Arabidopsis thaliana: one gene and its partner. Each later gene encodes a partner of the first gene's protein in a complex. Each region holds a gene or a part of one and is shown on either strand. Other genes may lie near its edges. The genes, in order: ndhJ and NdhO. A codon is read from its position in the direction of its gene.

Region 1 (3,127 bases):
CCTGTGTCACATGATAATGATCCTTCAGTAAAGGTAGACATAGCTTTTTTGCAGAGGACTCGAAATCCTCGTGTCACCATTAGGAAAACGAGCATGATACTTCAGTAGATGATACTTGATACTTCAGTAGACTAATGGTGGACATAGCTTTTTTCCGGGGGACTTGAAATCGTTGTGCCACCATTCGTAAAACGAGGATGATCCTTCGCCGGGATAGCTCAGTTGGTAGAGCAGAGGACTGAAAATCCTCGTGTCACCAGTTCAAATCTGGTTCTTGGCAGAGGATTTATTAATTTTGATAAGTTTTTATTCTTCAAATTAAACGTATCTTTAGTAAAAAAAGTGCAATTATGCTTTATCCCCTCTCTTTTTTTTGTTCATGTTGTGAATCCAGCCGTTCAAAAAGAATGTATAATACTTGATACATAATACATATCCGAAAGGAAAGGTTAAATGAGTTCCGTTGAATCAAACAAGTAAAAAAAGGTCTATATGTATAGTATACTATAGTTGAAGGGCAAAAATACCCCAAGGTTCATTAGATACAATAGAAATAGAATTGTATCCCCCCCTTCATTTATTGCTTTCCGATCTTATTTATTCATTCCCAGTTATGTGACTAAAGTTGACTAAGTTATGTGCGCGATACAAAGTTCATAATGCAGAACTCTTTTTTTTTAGTTCATCCTATTGGCTCATTTTTTATCATTCAATAAGCATCTTGTATTTCATAAAAATTGGGGGCAATATAATCCTTACGTAAAGGCCACCCTATCCAACTCTCGGGCATTAGGATCCGTTTCAGTCGTGGATGGCTATCATAAGTGATTCCTAACATATCATAAGATTCCCGTTCTTGAAAATCCGTACTTTTCCAAACCCAGAAAACGGATGGAATTCTAGGATTACTCCTGTGAGTAAATACTTTTATGCAGACTTCTTCCGCTTGATTAACACCATATTCTATTCTCGTAAGATGATACACGCTGGCTAAGAGGCCACCTGGTGCCACATCATAGGCACATTGCGAACGTAAATAATTGTAACCATATACATATAAAATTACAGCAATAGAATGCCAATCTTCGGGCTTTATTTGTAAAGTCTCTATTCCTTGATAATCGAAGCCCAACGATCTATGAACCAGCCCGCGTTTGGCTAGCCAAACGGACAAAGTGCCCTGCATCTTTTTTATTTCCCCCACACCTTTTTTATATAAAATTAAGTATTTCACATTTACCGTTAATTCTAATTTATGAAGATTTTTTTCTGATTCTCTAAAAGCCTCCCTAATTCACTAATTCGTGGGACGATACTGGACTTTTGTATTTAAAAAATGTTTCAGTAGAGATCTCTGAAGTAGATGATGGTGGATAGAGTAGTTCTTGATCATAATTTCCAATATGCGGACTGCGTACAACAAAAAACTTGTGATTGGTAGTAAAACACCGATTACCCTGTTGAGGTCTAATTCGATCCTTATAGATTTCTCTAGCTATTTTCTTACGAAGCTTTGTTATAGCGTCTATAACAGCCTCTGGTTTAGGTGGACAACCCGGCAAATAGACATCTACAGGAATTAGCTTATCAACTCCTCGAACAGTACTATAAGAATCGGTACTGAACATCCCCCCTGTAATTGTACAGGCTCCCATAGCAATAACATACTTCGGTTCAGGCATTTGTTCATATAATCGCACTAAAGAAGGAGCCATTTTCATTGTTACTGTACCTGCTGTTAAAATAAGGTCCGCCTGTCTAGGACTCGATCTTGGTACTAACCCATAACGATCAAAGTCAAATCGGGAGCCTATTAATGAGGCAAATTCAATGAAACAACAACTGGTACCATAAAGAAGCGGCCATAGGCTGGAAAGTCTTGACCAATTTGAAAGATCATTTAACGTAGTTGAAATAACGGAATTTTTTGTTGTTCGATCAAGTATGGGAAACTTAATGGAATTCATAATTGTTTCAATGGTTTTTTTTACTTTTTTTTTTTTTATTATTGTATCAAGTATTCGGTAAACGAACTAAGACCATTCCAATGCTCCTTTTCGCCATGCATAAACTAAACCAAGAATTAGGATAAGCACGAAAATGAAAGCTTCTATAAAAGCAGATACCCCCAGTACATCGAAACTCATTGCCCACGGATACAGAAAAACAGTTTCAACATCAAAAACAACAAAAACTAGAGCAAACATATAATAACGGATTCTAAATTGTAACCAAGCATCCCCGATCGGTTCTATACCTGATTCATAACTAGAAAGTTTCTCCGGCCCCTTCCTAATTGGAGATAAAACTCCGGAAATTAGAAATGCCAAAACAGGAATAGCACTTGATATTAGTAAAAATGCCCAGAAAATATCATATTCGTAAAGCAGAAACATAGACGAACTCCTATGAATGTGGAAAAAATACCCGCTTAGTCAATTCCAATCGGAGTGGATTGGGCAAGGGATATAGAACTCTTGAGTCAAAACAAAAATTCAGGTTAATCGAATCATTTTTTTTCGTTTGGTTGTTGTGGTAGACGTCTCGTTTTAAGATTTATTGATTTCTTATTTTCAGTACACTTATTACTTAATAGTTCCATGTTTCTATTACTAATAGTTTCTAATATAATAATATAATATTAATCTGATTAATAACTAGTAATTTTTTTTATTTCTGTTTATGTTTAAAAAAATTTTTCGAAAAATCTCTTCGTTTTTTAAATGATGACGTATCAAAAAATCCAGTAAGACTTTACCATACTCATCTTACTTAGTATTAGATAGATTGAATTTTGGTTGAATTTAATTAGATTTCTTTTTTTATTTTTAAACAAGGCCGTGTGATAAAAAAAGTAACCAAGATTGAGTGGGGATACAAAAAAAAAAAGAAAGTATTATGAACTTTTTGATTGTAGCTAGTGAACGAGGAAAATTCATATAAAAAAATTACAACTATGAAAATTAATGAAGAAAAAGGTTTATTCTAAATTATAAATTAAGTATCTATCTCGATATATCGATAGATAGTGATTGGCTCCATTGAAATAAAATGAAATTTTCCGTTTTATTCTGAACGATCCCCAGGACTTATGGTTTATGATATGGAAATTTTTTTTATGAACCGA
Region 2 (3,670 bases), on another chromosome or scaffold:
CGCCATGGTAAAAGAGGGATTTTATTGAGGGAAAGCCGCTGCAGAATGTATCGATCGTTGCTGATACGTTTAAACGATTTCGAAACTAATTGAAGATTGCGAAACTCGGATAATGATGAAGCTGCAACACATTAAGAGATCTCTACAAGAAGGTCTTCAGGTAGAGAATCTAGAGAAACAGAAACTGTCATTCTGTGGGAATTCTTGAAAGAAGAAAAAGTACTATGGTTTGTTTAAGATTGTGAGTATTGTTTTCTCTCTTGATTTGTTGACTCGGGTTTTTATAACAATGTTTAGATTTCCTATTCCTAATAGGAAAAGGAAGTAATACAAAAGTTTAGAATAAGCCAAAAGATTAAAAATAAATAAAATCTAAAAAAGCTTTAAAAAAAAAAAGGAAAAATACATAATAATGGGATTAAATCCTTGTATGGAGAACAAATCCAAACCCTAGATTCTCTCATTCACCGTTCACCAATGGGAAAACCCAAAAGGAGAAATCATAGGAAACCCACTAACATCACCATCACGTCAATAGTATTTTTGTGATGATGAAGAATTTATCAGAAAATGGAAGTCAAAGACAAAGCAGAGGAAAGGATTGTTTAATGAAGTTGTGAGAGATGAGATTGGCTTTGTGTCTTGTTACTCTCCTAGTCACATACATAATACATTGATTACGAGGTGAATTTGAAACATGTTGGCACACTTCCGCTTGTCTTCGTCGTTTAGAGCACCTAAATTTACCATCATCCGTCCATTAGGTCAGTAGTTATATTTGTGATGATGAAGAAGTTTCCGGTTTTCGGAAAGTGGAAGCCAAAGACAAAACCAGAGGAAATTTTATGAAGCTGTGAGAAATGAGTTTATGTTGGGAGATCGATGAGATAAAATTACCATCATCCGTTTACTGAAGCTGCATTCTTATTATAGGAGTCTGATGACATATTCCACACTCCACAACAGTTTTTGTAACTAATTGTAACGTTGATACTTTGTCAAACTCTTGAACACATGATCATGATGGTGCGCCATTGTTATCGTTCATCTCAGCTTAACACAATCCTTGGTATATCAGTTGCATTCCAAAGGATTCTTCTTGGAACCTTCTTGACTCTACATTCGCTCGTAAACAAGTTTCTCACACTGCGGTGGAACAAAAACCAAGAACACAGAAACAATCATGACTTGACATCAAGACAATGCTACGTATTGTTGATGTACTGAGAAAATTATGAGTACCTTGATGAGCATATCTGTTGGGAGCCAAGCTGGTGCGGTGGGGATACCAACCCATCCAACCTAAAGTCTCCAAAATTCACAATCCATTAGCTCATCTTATGAAACAGAATAAACAATTTGTGTGGAGACTGACTTACAAGTGCATACTCTCCTGTCTCAAAGACACGAAGGTCCAAGACCTGCAAGATTTAGATTACTTGTTCAATAAGCTTGAAATCTCTTGTGATTTATTTTCAAAAGGGATTGTGTTATACCTCGCCGCGATCTTCGTATATGTAATCAAGTCCTTTGTAGAAAGGAGGATGTCCAACTGATAAGTACTGTAATTTCAACAAATGTAGCAAAACAAAAGTTTCAGAAACAGATTTTTGAAGAAGCAGCTTCAAAACTGGGAAAGATTTCGACTATACATTGATGCTGTTGAGGTACTTCTCTTTTTCCACACGAACGATTTGGCCCTTCTTCACTGTTTTCTCATCCACCAGAAACAGAAATTCAAAAGAATTATCAAAAATCTGTTATTGGATTCAACACTTAGAAACAAAAGTGAGGGAACAGACTCGAGTAAACCGGTTTCTTGGGGAGGGTTTTAGGGGTTTTGGTTGCAGCTGGTGATGCTTCCCCATCAGACTTGCCCTGTGTGCTCTGTTTCTCTTTCTCTGCTTCTGCTTTGACTGTGAATTGAGGAAGAGATCGATGAGGGAGTCTTCTAGAAGAAATTGGTAATGAAGAGGAGATGGTTGAAAGAGAAGAAAGCTGAGACACAGTCGCAGAGAAAGCCATTGGAGAGACCACCAAGAAAAAAAATTATGTGTTCTTGGAGTTTCGGGATAAGACCGCAATGGTATCCAAGTCTCTCAACGGTCTAAAACAGACATCACTGAACCAATCATAAGATGCCACGTAAGTGCAAACAAGTTTCCTCTGCTATACAACTAGGAATATAGTAATAGATAATGTATTCCAACAAAGATTATATTCGTTTTTTTTTGTTTTCTGATGCTTGAAAGTTTATGAATTATAAACACATACAAGTGAAATCGTGTATGTCACATGGAAGATCATATACAAAATCTTTTTACGTGTACTTTTAAATTATATGTTACATTATAGAATCTAATTGATCTGGTTGTGAAGTAGGAAACAATATATATACTGTAGGCAAAGTATTTAATTTTATAAAATTGTTTAAATCATATTCACATTGATCTCCTTTTGTTTTAACAAAAAAAAAAAACAGAGTAATAAGGTGAGCATTAGAATCTAGACTTACATAGTTGCATATATCAAAAATAATGTATATTACACAAGGAAATCAAGAGAAAACGTGAGAAAAGATTGAGCTCAATCATTTAACCCCTAGACTCTAATTTGATCCTCTTGGAAGATGGAGTGTCGTCATCAAGGGAGGAAACATCATGAGACGACGATGATGAAGATGTTGATGATGATGATGGAGATGAATCAATGTCGTTTTGTAGGATTCTCTTAGGACTAAGTTTTTTGGTTTTTCCTTCTTCAGCTTCACCACCTCTCATTATAAGTTCTTTTAAACGCTTCACATCAGCTAATTTCACCGGTTTTAGCAAAAACTCCTCTGCTCCTTCTATCATACATCTACAACAACAACAACAACAAAAGAGAGGATAGACAAAAAAATCAGATTACAGTGTTAAGATCCATTGATTCAGTTTTGTATCTTTAGCTATAGTGACTTACTGTTCTATACGAGGTTGTATGTTCTCAGAAGACATTATCACTACTGGGATTTCTCTGAGTGCTGAAGACTCCTGGCAAATATACAACAGAATTTTTGTAAGGAAAACACGAGAAGAGCTTATTCAAATCTTGCTCTAATAAATGACACAAAATAGAAATTTACTTTGATCTTCTTGAGGAGTTCATATCCTGTTAGTCCCGGCATTGAATAATCCGTCACTATCAAGTTCACTTTCAAATCCTGTTATCAAAATTTGCAAAATTGTTCATATAAACGGCATCAATAAACAAATAATAAAATCATCCTCTAAAGGTTAAACTTTTGATCCACATTGTGAAACCTTAGATTTCTTGGGAGCCAAACCAGCATAAGAACACTTCAAGTTTCAACGTCTAGGGTTGATTTTGCTAGAAAACAGAGAGATTCTAAGAAATGAATGAATATATACCTTAAGACCAGAAGATCCATTGTCTCCATCTAAACCAAGATACTGCAGAGCCCTAGTCCCACTCTCAACAGTCGTCACTATATAAAGAAACCCACCAAATTTATCCAAAAAAACGAATCAGAAACCAAACAAAAGAAAAGCAGAAAACGTAAAGAGAAACAGTTTTGCCTTTTACCTTTACAAGCAGAGATCTTAAGCAATCTCTCAATAACTTTACGATCCACGAAACTATCATCAACGGCAAGAACATGTAACTCCGG

Evidence for each region.
Region 2: the proteins of ndhJ (region 1) and NdhO are in contact, whole or in part, in a cryo-EM structure (PDB 7WFG), measured with the Arabidopsis thaliana proteins. Residues at the interface, in NP_051062.1 of Arabidopsis thaliana: Ala60 (codon at 1,009), Pro61 (codon at 1,006), Ile138 (codon at 775), Gly139 (codon at 772), Arg143 (codon at 760), Lys144 (codon at 757), Asp145 (codon at 754), Tyr146 (codon at 751), Ile147 (codon at 748), Ala148 (codon at 745), Pro149 (codon at 742), Asn150 (codon at 739), Ile154 (codon at 727), Gln155 (codon at 724); in NP_565093.1 of Arabidopsis thaliana: Ser91 (codon at 1,661), Ile92 (codon at 1,658), Leu95 (codon at 1,559), Asp107 (codon at 1,523), Tyr108 (codon at 1,520), Ile109 (codon at 1,517), Tyr127 (codon at 1,388), Val130 (codon at 1,302), Ile135 (codon at 1,287), Pro136 (codon at 1,284), Thr137 (codon at 1,281), Pro139 (codon at 1,275), Ala140 (codon at 1,272), Trp141 (codon at 1,269), Leu142 (codon at 1,266).

What each region holds. Positions count from the first base shown.
Region 1 is NC_000932.1:47,968-51,094, forward strand, and holds ndhJ (NADH dehydrogenase subunit J), read right to left. Parts: upstream 1,187-3,127; coding exon 710-1,186; downstream 1-709. Other genes in the region: ndhK (NADH dehydrogenase subunit K), read right to left, coding at 1,290-1,967; ndhC (NADH dehydrogenase subunit 3), read right to left, coding at 2,034-2,396. UniProt on the Arabidopsis thaliana protein: NDH shuttles electrons from NAD(P)H:plastoquinone, via FMN and iron-sulfur (Fe-S) centers, to quinones in the photosynthetic chain and possibly in a chloroplast respiratory chain.
Region 2 is NC_003070.9:28,128,996-28,132,665, forward strand, and holds NdhO (NAD(P)H:plastoquinone dehydrogenase complex subunit O), read right to left. Parts: upstream 2,083-3,670; 5' UTR 2,026-2,082; coding exon 1,803-2,025; intron 1,709-1,802; coding exon 1,653-1,708; intron 1,563-1,652; coding exon 1,497-1,562; intron 1,422-1,496; coding exon 1,380-1,421; intron 1,303-1,379; coding exon 1,243-1,302; intron 1,147-1,242; coding exon 1,117-1,146; 3' UTR 833-1,116; downstream 1-832. Other genes in the region: AT1G74875 (F-box protein), read right to left, coding at 1-121, 666-750; ARR15 (response regulator 15), read right to left, coding at 2,595-2,859, 2,962-3,032, 3,125-3,202, 3,411-3,487, 3,586-3,670. UniProt on the Arabidopsis thaliana protein: NDH shuttles electrons from NAD(P)H:plastoquinone, via FMN and iron-sulfur (Fe-S) centers, to quinones in the photosynthetic chain and possibly in a chloroplast respiratory chain.